Anolis sagrei: one gene and its partner. The protein of the gene in region 1 binds, or shares a complex with, the protein of each later gene. Links are inferred from orthologs where the notes say so. Each region holds a gene or a part of one and is shown in the gene's direction. Other genes may lie near its edges.

The links. The genes of interacting proteins can lie anywhere in the genome.
Region 2: MEPCE (region 1) and LARP7 share a complex: the UniProt entries of both Homo sapiens proteins name them as parts of the 7SK RNP complex. The link is inferred for Anolis sagrei from reciprocal best matches to the Homo sapiens genes MEPCE and LARP7.

The regions. Positions count from the first base shown.
Region 1 is NC_090026.1:2,897,744-2,906,029, forward strand, and holds the start of MEPCE (7SK snRNA methylphosphate capping enzyme), read left to right. Parts: upstream 1-5,127; 5' UTR 5,128-5,419; coding exon 5,420-6,943; intron 6,944-8,286. UniProt on the Homo sapiens protein: S-adenosyl-L-methionine-dependent methyltransferase that adds a methylphosphate cap at the 5'-end of 7SK snRNA (7SK RNA), leading to stabilize it.
Region 2 is NC_090025.1:32,549,136-32,556,885, forward strand, and holds the start of LARP7 (la-related protein 7), read left to right. Parts: upstream 1-4,736; 5' UTR 4,737-4,865; intron 4,866-4,932; exon of another isoform or gene 4,933-4,955; intron 4,956-5,150; exon of another isoform or gene 5,151-5,219; intron 5,220-7,750. UniProt on the Homo sapiens protein: RNA-binding protein that specifically binds distinct small nuclear RNA (snRNAs) and regulates their processing and function.

The DNA.
Region 1 (8,286 bases):
GATTTATACAATCAAAGAGCCCCTTGAACCCCACCAATGATAGAATTGGGCCAAACCTCCCACACAACCCCCATGACCAATAGAAAATACTGTGTTTTTGATGGTCTTTGGTGACCCTCGCGAACCCCCCCCCCCCCCCCCCAAGTCTCTCAGCATTCCTTACCATTATGTATGCTGGCTATAGAGCTTAGTGCCACCTAGAATATCTCAAAAGGTATTGGAGTGGGAGGAAGGACCCGTGGGTGGCCTTGGGCTGCACCTGGCCCTCCAAGGCTGTCTTTGTGTCCTTGGACCTCTCCAGACTGGCCTTTGTCTGACCAAAAAAAGGTATAAGGCTTCTCTTGGAAGGCAATGGAAACCGCAATTCGCCCTTGTAGATAAATGGCAGCCACTTCCTGTGCATTTTCACATCAGTAATGGTTTCCTTTTAACCAAACTTCCTGTAATCTGGGTTGTTGTAGGTTTTTTCGGGCTATATGGCCATGTTCTAGAGGCATTCTCTCCTGACGTTTCGCCTGCATTTATTTATTTATTTATTTATTTATTTACTTCGCTTATATACCGCAATTCTCAGCCCAAGGGCGACTCACTGCGGTGTACAACATAGAAAAACAGGTGCAAAATACAAAACATAGTGTAAAATAATCCACATTATCAAAAAACATCTCATCAAAACATCAACATTACTACAAAAGCCATTCCGAGTCGTCTCATCGTCAAACCCACAATCCGATATCATTTCCGTTGTTCCATTCCTATGGTCAAATTACCAATCATTGCACTTCTTGTCCAAATGCCTTCTTAAACAGCCAGGTCTTTAACTTCCTGCGGAATATCAACAGGGAGGGAGCTAGCCTGATGTCCACGGGAAGGGTGTTCCACAGCCGAGGAGCCACCACTGAGAAGGCCCTATCTCTCGTCCCCGCCAGCCGGCAAGCATCCTCAGAGGTAGTGAGGTCTGTTGGAACGAGGGGAAAGGGTTTTATATATCTGTGGAATGACCAGGGTGGGTCATTCCTGTAATCTCTTTGTGGATGTTTTCAGAGAGTCCCAGGGGAAGAATACTGGCACTCCGACCCACAGCTATTGCTTCTCCTTTCTCTACAATTGCAAGGGGCAACACCCCATGGGCCATCTAGTCCAACTTCATTCTGTTATACAGGAAAAGCACAATAAAAGCACCCCTGACAGATAGCCATTGAGCCTGTTTAGAACCTTCCAAGGAAGGAGCTTCCACCAAACTCCGAGGCAGAGAGTTCCACTGCTGAACAGCTCTCCTTACGGTCAAGAAGTTCTTCCTAATACAGTTTAGGTGGAATCGCCTTTCCTGTAATTTGAACCCATTACGCTGAGTCCTGGTTTCCAGGGCAGCAGAAAACAAGCTTTCTATTTTTCCCCCCTGGCTTTAGCCTGCTCTGTTGCTGTATTTGTAGTGTATTTATAAGCATCTGTGGGGCACAACATAATTCTCACATCTTCATACCTGATACCACCAGTACAAAAAGATACCTGCAACTATTTGCCAAGTTATTTATTTATTGTGTCAGAAGCAAATTGAGAATAGAGTTATAATGTATAAAAACCCACAAAGAAAGTTTGAAAACTTGGCATTATACTAAATGTCATAGAATCCTAGAATCCAAGAATTCGAAGAGACCTCATGGGCCATCCAGTCCAACCCCGTTCTGCCAAGAAGCAGGAATATTGCATTCAAAGCACCCCTGACAGATGGCCATCCAGCCTCTGTTTAAAAGCTTCCAAAGAAGGAGCCTCCACCACACTCTGGGGCAGAGAGTTCCACTGCTGAACGGCTCTTCACAGTTAGGAAGTTCTTCCTCATGTTCAGATGGAATCTCCTCTCTTGTAGTTTGAAGCCATGGCTCCTTACTTACTTACTTACTTACTTAGGCGATCCCTCGTTGGACGAGTAAGATGGTCTTCCATTATGGATTTCCCTGTGGGTCCGTATGTGGCTGTGGAGCCCTATTCTTGCTCTGCATCTTCTTCCGCAGTGAGGGCATTGGTTTCCAGGTGGAAGGCGGTCTCGGCCGGGGTTGGCTTGACGCGCCTTCCTCCTGGCACGTTTCTCTCTTTCACCCTCCACTCGTGCCTCCTCAAATTCTGCAGCACTGCTGGTCACAGCTGACCTCCATTGCATCCTAGTCTCCAAGGAAGCAGAGAACAAGCTTGCACCCTCCTCCTCCCTGTGGCTTCCTCTCACATATTTATCCATGGCTATCATATCTCCTCTCAGCCTTCTCTTCTTCAGGCTAAACATGCCCAGCTCCTTAAGCCGCTTCTCATAGGGCTTGTTCTCCAGACCCTTGATCATTTTAGTCGCCTTCCTCTGGACACATTCCAGCTTGTCAATATCTCCCTTCAATTGTGGTGCCCAGAATTGGACACAATATTCCAGGTAAAGTGGTCTAACCAAAGCGGAATAGAGCATGGGGAGCATGACTTCCCTAGATCTAGACACTAGGCTCCTATTGATGCCTGAGGCCAAAATCCCATTGGCTTTTTTTGCCGCCACATCACATTCCTGGCTCATGTTTAACTTGTTGTCCACGAGGACTCCAAGATCTTTTTCACACGTACTGCTCTCGAGCCAGGCACTGTCCCCCATTCTGTATCTTTGCATTTTGTTTTTCCTGCCAAAGTGGAGTATCTTGCATTTGTCACTGTTGAACTTCATTTTGTTAATTTTGGCCATTCATCTCTCTAATCTGTCAAGATCGTTTGAAATCCTGCTCATGTCCTCTGGAGTCTTGGCTCTCCCAATTTGGTGTCGTCTGCAAAATGTCCTGTGACACGTATCTGGCCACTTGGAGTGCCTCAGGTGTTGCCGCAAGAAGGTCCTCCCTTGTGCATGTGGCAGGGCTCAGGTTGCATTGCAGCAGGTGGTCAGTGGTTTGCTCTTCTCCCCACTCGCATGTCGTGGATTCCACTTTGTGGCCCCATTTCTTAAGATTGGCTCTGCATCTCGTGGTGCCAGAGCGCAGTCTGTTCAGCACCTTCCAAGTCTTCTGTGTGCCCAGCGGGGAGTCTCTCATTTGGTATCAGCCATTGGTTGAGGTTCTGGGTTTGAGCCTGCCACTTTTGGACTCCCGCTTGCTGAGGTGTTCCAGAGAGTGTCCCTGTAGATCTTAGAATACTATTTCTTGATTTAAGTCGTTGATGTGCTGGATGATACCCAAACAGAGGATGAGCTGGAGATGTCTCTGCCTTGGTCCTTTCACTATTGGCTGCTACTTCCCGGCGGATGTCAGGTGGTGCGATACCAGTGAAGCAGTGTAATTTCTCCAGTGGTGTGGGGCACAGACACCCCGTGATAATGTGGCATGTGTCATTAAGAGCCACATAGAATCATAGAATCAAAGAGTTGGAAGAGACCTCATGGGCCATCCAGTCCAACCCCATTCTGCCAAGAAGCAGGAATATTGCATTCAAATCACCCCTGACAAATGGCCATCCAGCCTCTGCTTAAAAGCTTCCAAAGAAGGAGCCTCCACCACACTCCGGGGCAGAGAGTTCCACTGCTGAACGGCTCTCACAGTCAGGAAGTTCTTCCTAATGTTCAGATGGAACATTAGGAACACTGTTTTAGCGTGGTGAGATGTGTTCCACACTGGGCATGCGTACTCAGCAGCAGAGTAGCACTGCGCAAGGGCAGATGTCTTCACTGTGTCTGGTTGTGATCCCCAGGTTGTGCCAGTCAGCTTTCGTATGATATTGTTTCTAGCACCCACTTTTTGCTTGATGTTCAGGCAGTGCTTCTTGTAGGTCAGGGCACAGTCCAGAGCGACTCCCAGGTATTTGGGTGCCCTGCAATGCTCCAGTGGAATTCCTTCCCAGGTAATAATCCTCAGAGCTCGGGATGCTTGTCTGTTCTTAAGGTGAAAGGCACATGTCTGTGTTTTAGATGGGTTGGGGATCAGCTGGTTTCCCCTGTAATAGGCAGTAAGAGCATCTAGAGCAGGCATGGGCAAACTTGGGCCCTCCAGGTGTTTTGGACTCCCAACTCCCACAATTCCTAACAGCCTATCGGTTGTTAGGAATTGTGGGAGTTGGGAGTCCAAAACACCTGGAGGGCCCAAGTTTGCCCATGCCTGAACTAGAGCTTCGGAGAGCTTCTGTTCTACCATCTCAAAGCTCCCTGCTTGAGCGGTGATGGCACAATCATCAGCATAGATCTATATATATTAGATATATAGATTTACAACTCGCCTTTGAGCCTAACCTCCCCCATCAGTGTAACAATAAACACATTGGCCCTCTATGAATCCCGTGCCGCCCTTTCCCACGTTCCTCTCCCTTTCCCCGCGTGTCCTGGGGTCTGTTTGTTTACCCACCTCCCGCGCCTGCGCAGTTGGTAAGAAGCAGTGGCGGCTGCGACATTCGGCGCATGCGCCACTGGGGGGCCTGGAACAAAACTACAGTTCCCAGAGTGCTTTGCAGGCATCCGTTTCAGGCAAGTGGAGCCATGTGATCTTTTGACAACTGTCCATATTGGGAAACCCTTTTAAAAAGAAAAACAAAAAATGATTAAAATTCTTCTTTGCACAAAGAATGTGAAAGTATTGGTTCCAAGGGCGGATTTACTTAAATTATATTAAAATAGATTATATCTTTGGCAAGTGAGGCTGTTTTCCTCTTTTTTTAGGAGACTAAGCCAATGCCTGAAAAAAAACCGGCTTGTTCTTCGAGGCAGATTTTTGGCAGTTGACGAAAAGTGTATTATTTAACACATCCAATGCGGGGAAATATATCTACTTCGCCTTTCCTTTGCGACTTTAAAGCTCGAAATAACGCTCATGCAGGCGTATGAGTTAGACAACCCTATACCGAGAAGGACCCTCACCCACTCTGAGGAGAAAAATTAGATCCGAGTGCTGAGCTTTGATTGGATGGAGGAGCTCCCCTTCTGCTTTCCTATTGGTTGAAATCTAAATCAGGAGGCGGGAGGAAGAAAAGGAGGGGCGCCTTGTGAGGAATTGGTTCTGATTGGTTTCCGATACACGCGGCTCGAGCGGGCGCCGGGCTCTGATTGGTTGTCATCGAACCGAGGGGGCGTGGTGTATATTAGCCACGCCCACAAGGTATATAAACCCAGCGCTGAGGGGGGAGCGTGCCATCGCAGGAAATCGGGAGGCGCGAAGCGTTCTTCCTTGGACGGAGCGCTGGCTGGGCTGCGCATGCGCTGATCAAGAGGGCGGGGCGTTGTGGGTGTTTTGTGCGCCTGCGCGACGGAGGCTGGGCTTGATCGCGGAGTGCGCCTGCGCGGGAGAGAGCAAAGGAAGGGAGCAGCCGAGGGAGCGTACTGCGCACGCGCAGAAGGAGTCTGAGGCAGAAACAACGTGAGGCGGGCTGAGGAGAGGAACAAGGCTGCTTCTCTCCTCTTCCCCGGCTGGCCTGAGGGATGATCGAGATGGCGGCCGACAAGGACGCCTTCCGAGTCCCGGCCCCGCCTCCCCCGTTGCCTAAACCCCCTCCGAAGGGGCCTACCACCTGTGGAGCCGGGGACTTGCCTAGAAATGCAGCCGGGAAAGGAGGCCCCATGGCGGGGAAGGCCCAAGGGAGCCGTGGAGGTGGGGATGGAGGCCTCACAGACCCCCAACGAGGAGTGGAGGCCTCTGTGGAGGAGGGAGACGGCCTAGCTGAGCTCCACAAGCCTCGCAATGGCTTCCAGGCCCCTCCACAACCACAACAACAACCACAACAGAGGCCCAACAAGAGGCGTAACAGCTGCAATGTCGGTGGAGGAGGCGGTTTCAAGCACCCCGCTTTCAAGCGCCGCCGGAGGGTCAACTCCGAGTGCGACCCGGTCCTCCCGTCGGAGTTCCTCCTCGGCGGGAACATCTTCGACCCGCTCAACCTCAACAGCCTCCTGGACGAGGAGGTCAACCAGGCACTCAACGCCGAGACCCCCAAGTCGTCGCCGCTGCCGGCCAAAGGCCGCGACCCCGTGGAGATCCTCATCCCCAAGGATATCACCGACCCGTTGAGTCTCAACAACGCCCAGGACGACCCTCCCGTCTTGGCTTCGCCCGCCAAACGCAAGCGGCACCGGCACCGAGGGGCGCAGAGGGGGGGCAGCACCGACGGAGCGGGGACCAAGGCTCCCGCGACGCCCGCCGCCACCGCCTCGGCTTCCTGCCAGAAGTCCAAGCCCTGCAATGGGGCCACCCCCCAGCCGTACGAACTCAACACCGTCATCAACTGCAGGGATGAGGTGGTCTCGCCGCTGCTTCCCGCCGGACATGGGGAGCCCCAGCCCAGCCACCAAGGGGTTTCCGCCGGAGGGGGCGTCACCCCCTCCTGCGTCTCTGTGGCATCGTCCGCCAGCACAGGGAGCCGGCACCACCGCAAGCGGCGCAGGACTTGTAGCAAATCCGAAGTGGCGGCCGCGCGGCATCAGGGGCCTTCCTCGGCGTTGGAACAGCCTTCCCGGAGCAGCCCAGAGAGGGCCCGCAGTGCCCCCCGTTCCCGCCACGCGCCCCCCGCGTCCGCCCGCCGACAGCCCCGGCACAAGTTCCAGTACGGCAACTACTGCAAGTACTACGGATACCGCAACCCCGACTGCGAGGATGCCCGGCTGCGGGTGATGAAGCCGGAGTGGTTCCAAGGTAAAGAGGTGCTGGACGTGGGCTGCAACGTGGGACACTTCACCCTGAGCGTGGCCAAGAAGTGGGGGCCTGCCCGCATGGTGGGCCTGGACATTGACGGGCACCTCATCCACTCGGCCCGGCAAAACATCCGGCACTACCTCTCCGAGGAGCTCCACCAGCAGAAGCAGGAGAGCGACGAGGGTCCGAGCAGCACCGCGGCCAGAAAGACCTTCCCTGCCTCTCTGATGGCCAGCCGGGGCCCCATCGCCGCTCCGAGGGTCCCTCAGGAAGGGACAGATGCCTCTGTGTTCCCCAACAATGTCATTTTCATCAAGGTAAGGCAAGGAGGCTCCTGATGGCATAGTGGGTGGTTATTATTATTATTATTATTATTATTAAACTTCATTTATACCCCGCCACCATCTCCCCTCGGGGACTCGGGGTGGCTAACATGAGGCCAAGCCCAATGAATACAGTAAACAAATAAGATATGTACAGCAAATAATAATTAAAATTGAAGTTCAGCAATAAAACAATAACATACAAACAATAACACGCTCCAAGTCGCCTCTGGGCTAAGAGGGGCAGTATATAAATGTGGTAAATATATAAATAAACAACAAAAGGGAAATAACACTGGGTATAAAGTAAAATAAAATTAGGGATAAGGGATTAATCTGAATGGGTTATTATTATTATTATTAAACTTTATTTATACCCCACTACCATCTCCCCTCAGGGACTCGGGGTGGCTAACAGGCCAAGCCCAACGAATACAGTAAACAAATAAGATACATACAGCAAATCTATATAAATAAAATTTTAATGTATGTTTTGTGGGATTAACATAACTCAAAAACCACTGGATGAATTGACACCAAATTTGGACACAATACACCCATCAGGGCAACGAGTGACCCTCATTAAAAGCACAGCAGAAGACAAAAAATACATTACAAATAACAAAAAATACATTACAACACATGCTTAAAACCACACACACACACACATATATATGCAAACACACATACACACAAACATGCACATTAAAAACACATCTACATAGACTGGGCCACAGCAACATGTGGCAGGGGACAGCTAATAATAATTAAAATTAAAATAAAGTACAGCAATAAAACAATAACATACAAACAAGAAAAGAAATTAACATATTGGGTATAAAGTAATATAAGATTAGGAATAAGGGCCAAGGTGCGAAGATAAAATCAAGGGACATAGGAAAGGATAACCGAAGCAATTTAACCACTGGGAGGTACAGGAGGGACAAGCTATGGGGCTTAATTACTCGCTAGGAATAAGGCAAGGTGCATCAAGAGGACAGGTATGTGCTGGGACTGTCGTAGTGTGGGGATTATTGTTCATTCATCAAAAGCAAGGCAGAACAGCCAGGTTTTCAAGCCTTTCCTATAAGCTGACAAGGTGGGAGCTAGCCTAATCTCCCCAGGTAATGACATCCAAAGCAGGGTTAAATAAATACAATCCTAGAGTTGGAAGAGACCTCGTGGGCCATCCAGTCCAATCCCATTCTGCCAAGAAGCAGGAAAATCACGTTCAAAGCACCCCCGACAGATGGTCATCCAGCCTCTGTTTAAAAGCCTCCATAGAAGGAGCCTCCACCGCATAATGATAACACTAACATCTACATAATAATTAATAA
Region 2 (7,750 bases), on another chromosome or scaffold:
CTGGAAGCTTCAACGATCAGCAGCCAGGTTGCTCACCAGAGCAATGTACAGGGAACATACGATTCCTTTGTTACACGAACTCCAATTGCTACGTATCAGCTTCCGAGCACAATTCAAAGTGCTGATTTTAACCTTTAAAGCCCTAAACGGTTCTGGCCCAGACTACCTATCTAAACGTATCTCCTGCCATGAACCATCACGGTTTAAGATCGAGGCCCTGCTCTCGATCCCACTATCACAAACATGGTTGATGGGGATGAGAGACAGGGCCTTCTCAGCAGTGGCCCCCCACCTATGGAACGCCCTCCCTGGAGATATCAGATTGGACACTCCCCTCTTGTCTTTTAGAAGGAAAATCAAGTCCTGGTTATGGGACCAAGCATTTGATCAGTGAGCAAGTGGAAGAAGATCACACAACTTATGGCAATGAATTGACCCAGACTGGTTTTTGGATTTCAATTTTAATGGGTGTCTTAATTAATTGTTTTAATTTTTAAAATTTTGATTGTACTGTGGTTGTTTTTATGATGCTAGCATTGTATGATGCTTTTTTTAGGCTGCCCTGAATCCCCTTTCAGGGGGGGGGGGGGGGCATAAATATAGGAAATAAGTAAAATAAATAAACCTTTCAGTTAGTAAGTTCAGCAGCTCAGCAACTCTGCCACCGGGGGCTCCTTTGAGGTCCCCCAATATCACTGTGTTCCCAGACAAGAGGAGGAGGAGATAAAACAGGGCAAAAGAGGCATCAAAGGGCTAATTTACTCAGCTTCCAAATCACAGGCCTAAGCATTTTAATAATGCATTAAAAACCCACAATATATAGGTCATATCACATAGTTCATTCATATTACACCCTTTTTTCTCAGTTCAATTGACTGTTTTCATTCTGTGTAGATACTGATGTTCCAGTGCCATTTCCTTTAGAGATTTCATTTGTTTTTTTGTCTTTTATAACAACAAAAATATTGTATGTGATGGAGCAAATCTGAGATGTATTTATTTATCGTGTCAGAAGCAAACTGAGATACAATTATAATGTATAAAAAAGAACAAAGTTAAAAACCCGGCATTATGCTAAATTTCCTTTGACCAGAAACTGGCCACTTCGAGTGCCTCTGGTGCCGCTGTAAGAAGGTCCTCCATTGTGCATGTGGCAGGGCTCAGACTGCCTTATAGTAAGTGATCTTTGGCTTGCTCTTCTCTGCACTCGCATGTCGTGGACTCCACTTTGTAGCCCCATTTCTTAAAGCTAGCTCTACATCTTGTGGTTCAAGAGTGCAGTCTGTTTCTCATCCGGCTTCAGCCACTGATTGAAGTTCCGGGTTTTAGCCTGCCACTTTTGGACACTTGCTTGCTGGGGTGTCCCTGTGAGTATATCTGTAGTTCTTAGGAACCTTTTTATTGATTTAAGGCATTGGCTTGCTGGCTGATATCCAAACAGAGAAGGGGCAGAGATGTCACTGCCTTGGTCCTTTCATTGCTGGCTGCTACTTCCCGTGGATATCCGGTGGTGCAATACCAGCTAAACAGTATAATTTCTCCAGTGGTGTTGGGAGTAGATATCCTACAATAGTGTCTCCTTGAGAGCCACATCCACGGTTATAACATGGTGAGAAGTATTCCACACAGGGCATGAGTATTCAGCAGCAAAGTAGCAAAATGCAAGGGTAGATGTCTTCATTGTGTCTGATTGTGACCCCCAGGTTGAAATTATTCTTTTGGACGTAAAACCCCTAACTCGTTTAATACCAGAATACCCTTTTTTTTCTTAAAAAAAAAAAGACATTTTGATGACCTTAAATTTTACAGATTTTTGATTAAGGGTGCAGTTACACAGCACAACTAATGCAATTTGACAACAGTTTTAACTACTACGGCTCCATGCTATGGAATTGCGAGAGGTGTTGTGCAGGTACAGCTGTACCAGGAGCTCCAATTTTGTTTGCTTTGCACTGAATGTTTGTTATAGTCCTAAGTTTCAGGGACTCTGCAGCTATCTTCTTTTGGCTGCAATCATAGGACAAGCCACCTGTCAATTATAGTTAGGTTCCCTGGTCCCGCCCCTTTTTGGGTTTTTGGAGGGAATAGAAGCCTTTTTGGGTTCAGTCCATACAGAGAAGCTTTCCATGCAGGACATAATACCAAGAGCTCCTGTAGAAAGCTTCGTCTTCTACAGCTTGGCCGGGGAGAAAGGTCCCGTGGCTTGGCTGGGAGATATACAGCCTTACAGCTCCTTTGCTGAGGGAAACCGGTCTCACAGCACTTCAGCCAGCCATCACTGACACCTGAACTCCTTCCTTTTTCCCTTGGAAGTCTACAAAGCTCTGCCTGGTAAGGGTCACTCGCAGAAGCCAGAAGCAGTTGGTACTGGGTGTAGGGGCTCCAACAGAGGCAAAGACAGACTGCCCAGATTAGAAGTTAAGGATTTCCCCATTAGTTGAAATTCAGTTGTGAAGATTGTGCCTGTTCCCAGTGGACAAGATTGAGAGAGCCAATAGATCAGTGGTTCTCAACCTGGGGGTCACAAGGGAATGTCAGAGGGGTCACTAAAGACCACCAGAAAACACAGTATTTTCTGTTGGTCATGGGGGTTCTATGTGGGAAGTTTGGCCCAATTCTGTCGTTGGTGGGGTTCAGAATGCTCTTTGATAGTAGGTGAACTACAAATCCCAGCAACTACAACTCCCAAAATGACAAGGACTACTTTCCCCAAACTCCACCAGTGTTCACTTTTGGGCATATTAAGTATTCGTGCCAAGTTTGGTCCAGATCCATCATCTTTTGAGTCCACAGTGCTCTCTGGATGTAGGCAAACTACAACTCCAAAACAAAAAGGTCAATGCCCACCAAACCCTTCCAATATTTTCTGTTTGCCATGGGAGTTCTGTGTGCCAAGTTTGGTTCAATTCCATTGTTGGTAGAGTTCAGAATGCTCTTTGATTGCAAGTGAACTACAAATCCCAGCAACCACAACTCCCAAATGACAAAATCACCCCCCCCACCCCACCAGTATTCAAATTTGTATCAGGTATCGGGTATTTGTGCCAAATTTGGTCTAGTGAATGAAAATCCATCCTGCGTATCAGATAGTTACATTACGATTGATAACAGTAGCAAAATGACAGTTATGAAGTAGGAAGGAAAATAATTTTATGGTTGGGGGTATTAAGGCAGGGGTCCACAAACTTTTTAAACAGAGGGCCAGGTCACAGTCCCTCAAACTGTTGGCGTGCCAGATTATAATTCGAAAAAAATACGAATGAATTCCTATGCACACTACACATATCTTAAAAACATTTAAAAACAATACAATAATTAAAATTAAGAACAATTTTAACAAATATAAACTAAATAGTATTTAAATGGAAACTGTGGGCCTGCTTTTGGCTGATGAGATAGGATTGTTGTTGTTATTGTGTGCTTTCAAGTAGTTTCATACTTAGGTTGACCGTGCGCGAGGGCCAGATAAATTACCTTGGAGGGCCGCATCCGGCCCCCGGGCCTTAGTTTGAGGACCCCTGTATTAAGGGGTCGCAGCATGAGGAAGTTTGAGAACCCCTGCAATAGACTATTAAGGAAGCCTTAAAGTACCTGTTTGTTTTCAATAATAAAGAACTTTGTTAAACCTTTGAGCAATCTAAAGACTCTGTTTAAGGAAATCCAAAGGCCTTTAATCTGAGGCAGCCCCGGCGTCCCGTTGGGCACACAGAATTTATGTCCTGTCTACAGTCTTATGCACAGGCCCAGCGTGCGACAGCACAGGTGTAGTTTTACAAAGTGTGCCTTACCAAACTACAACTCCCAGGACCCCACAGCACTCAGTCATAACCCTGAAGGTGATGCCAAACCGCATTACTTCTAATGGAAATGAGCCCTAAGAGTCATACATTAGAACTGTATTCTCAATTCTGTCCCGATAAATAAATAAATAATCCTGACTCAATGTATTGTCGAAGGCTTTCATGGCTGGAATCACTAGGTCTCTTGTAGGTTTTTTCGGGCTATAGGGCCATGTCTTGAGGCATTTCTCCTGACGTTTCGCCTGCATCTATGGCAAGCATCCTCAGAGGTAGTGAGGTCTGTTGGAATTAGGACAATGGGTTTATATATCTGTGGAATGGCTGGGGTGGGGCAAGGAGCTCTTCCCTGCTGCAGTTAGGTGTGAATGTTTCAGGAGAAATGCCTCTAGAACATGGCCCTATAGTCCTTAAAAACCTACAAGAACCTAGTAATCCTGACTCAGTTTAAATATTCTGCATGTTTCTCAAACTCTGGCCTTCCAGTCATTTTGGACTTCAGCTCCCAGAATCCCTGGTCATTGCCTCAGGCACCTGAGGCTTGTGGGAGTTGTAGTCCAAAATACCCCGAGGGCTAGAGTTTGGGAGTCATTAAACAGTCGCCGTCAGCTAAACAGGGAAAGGAACTGCAGCTTTGGAAAACAAAACCTTCCCTCAGGGCTGGTGACAGAGAGCTAAACCATTGTCGCGTTCCTACCTTCTCAAGTTTCCCGCTCAACCTGCTGGAGGTGACGTCACGTCTGCGCGACGAAGGGATGCACAGAGTTCCAAAACGGCGTGGTATAGATAGACGTCTTGGCGTCACTTCCAGTATATGTCTCTATTTTTTTCCTATCTCTATGCACATCCCCGCGCCTCCTCTAGGAAGCGCGCGCCGGACAGGTTCTCTTGGCCGCGCCTGCGCAGAAGCGAGCCCCGTGTTTTTTTTTCCCCTCCCGCGCGGCGACCAATAGGGTCGGGGAAGAGCGGGGTCTCCTGCCTGTCGCGCGAGAATTCAACCTGGCAACGAGCGAGGAGGGCGGGGCGGTGGTTTCGGCTAGGAGACACTTCCCTCGTGAGATTCACCGGGTTAGTGGTGTATGTGTGTCTGCGTACATGTGTGGAAGAAAGGGAATGGCGTGAGCATTCCTGTCACTTTTGGCTCGTTTCTCTCAGAAGGTGGTGGTTTGCGCATGCGCACGTGCTGCACCGGTTAAGGGTTAAGAGAGGGGTGTTTCAAAGGGTGATTTGATTGGCTGAGGAAGTGGGGGGGGGGTTCATCGTTTGTATTCCTGTGCGCATGCGCCTGGAGCCTCGCCTCCTTTTGATTACTTTAGGATTCTTAGGTTCCTAAGGCCCCTTCCACAAAGTTAAATAAAATCCCACATTTTCTACTTTCAATTAGAATATATGGCAGTGTGGACTCAGATAACCCCGTTCCAAGTAGATAATGTGGGATTTCCTGCCTTGATATTCTGTGTGGAAGGGCCCTAAGAAATAAAGTAGCTATAGTCATATTTTTCTGCCAACCTAGCAGTTTGAAAACATGCAAATGTGAGTAGATCAATAGGTAGCACTCCGGCGGGAAGGTAACAGCGCTCCATGCAGTCATGCCAGCCACATGACCTTGGAGGTGTCTACGGACAATACCGGCTCTTTGGCTTAGAAATGGAGATGAGCACCACACCCCAAAGTCAGATATGACTGGACTTTATGCCAGGGGACAACCTTTACCTTTTATTATTATTATTATTAAACATTATTTGTACCCCGCTAGCATCTTCCGAAGGATTTGATGCAGCTTACAAAGGCCAAGGCCTCAACACAACAACACTAGACAATAACAATACGATACAAAGCAAATTAAAAACATAAGCAATAACAAAACATTACACTATTACACAATAAAACCAGGGCCGGGCCAATGAAGGGTACAGATTAAAAAGTGCTGGGTATGAGAGGTGGTATGTTGGAATTCTGAGCAAGTGCAATGTGCAGAGAGTCTTAAACTCTAGTAAAGTGCTACTGGGACATAGTGCTAGGGGTTATCCTATTCTTGAAAGGCACATCGAAATAGCTAGGTCTTCAAGTTCTTCCTAAAGACTGCCAACATAGGTGCTAGTCTAATGTCTTTGGGGAGGGTGTTCCAAAGTTAGGGGGCAACCACAGAGAATGGTCACATTTCTGCAGAATTGCCGGACATAAAGACAATTTTTACAGGACTTTACATCCAAAAATTACCTCAAGATTTGCACCCTCGCCGTTGCCTTTTTTCCCACCGCTTGCTTTGATGTTTCTTGAATTGAGTGTGCATCTGCAATGTAGAATTAATGAAGTTTAACACCACTCTCACTAAGGGCACATCGGTAAAAGTATGATAGCTGGGACCCAACGCTGGTTATGTTGGGTTGCGCAACGTGGATCTGAATTAATGAGGGGAGTACGTGCACGAGATAGCCCATTGTTCGCCAGAAAGGGGAAGAGGAAATATTTCTATCCCATTTACCATCTTCATAAGCCGTGGTTTAGCATTTAACAATTAAAAACTCTAACATTTATTTATTTATTTCCTATATTTATACCCCGCCCTTCTGAAAGGGGACTCAGGGCAACCTAACAAAAGCATCATAAAAACAACCACAGTACAATCAAAATATTAAATATTAAAACAACAATTAATTAAGACACATCCATTAAAATCAAAATCCAAAAACCAGTCCGGGTCAATTCATTGCCATAAGTTGTGTGATCTTCTTCCATTTGCTGCTCACTGACCAAACATTCTTTTACTTGCCTTAACCACAGTGGTTCCCTCTTTATTGTTCCCCCCCCCCTTCTGACCCATGATGGGCTCGTCTTCCGTTCTTCTACTTGCACAAGTAGCATACCATTGGGTCCCAGCTATCATACTTTTACCGGCCCTTCCACACAACCCTATATCCCAGAATATCAAGGCAGAAAATCCCACAACTGGGCTATCTGAGTCCACACTCAGATAATGTGGGATTTCCTGCCTTGATATTCTGGGATATAGGGCTGTGTGGAAGTGCTCTTTCACATCGCCATATAACCCAGAATATCAAGGCAGAAGAATCCTACAAAATCTGCTTGGAACTGGGTGATCTGAGGCCCCTTCCACATAGCTGAATAAGATCCCACAATTTCTATTTTGAATTGGAATATATGGCAGTGTGGACTCAGATAACACAATTCAAAGCAGATATTGTGGAATTTTTTGCCTTGATATTCTGGGCGATATGGCTGTGTGAAAGAGCCCTGAGTCCACACTGCCATATATCCCCGTTCAAAGCAGATAATGTGAGGTTTTATTCAGCAGTGTGGAAGAGACCTAAGTGCAATGACTCAATGCTTTGGAATCCTGGGATTTCTAGTTTGGCGAAACACCAGCACTCTTTGGCACTCCTGTTAAAATACAACTCCCCCAAATCCGTAATACTGAACCATGATAGTAAATTCTGCCTTTTAGATGCACCCACAGAGCTGTGTAGCTAATAGATATTAATAGATTAATCTTTGATGAATTTGCCCAATTCTTTCTCTAATCATGTTTAATAAATGTGCTGACAGACTTTGTTACTTTGTTTTCTGTTATCATGAAATACAGCTGTGAAATAATGTCATGATCCCTTATCATATAAGTGTTACTTTTCTCCATTGGGGTGATTGTGATTCCTACAGCTTAGTGTGTCTGTGTGAATTAGGCCTGAGTATGGTAGATTATATCTTTTGTTAGTAAATTCCATAAAATTAATTGTGTGGTCAGCTACACTATGGATGTCTTGGTATTTAAGGATTGTAGTGGGGTCCCTTCCCCATAGCTGAATAAAATCCCTTAATATCTTCTTTGGGTTGGGATGTTGCCATATGTTCCAGCTCAAAGCAGAAAATGGGAGGTTTTATTCAGCTGTTTGGAAGGGGCTCCAGTTCAAAGCAGATCTTGTGGATTATCTGCC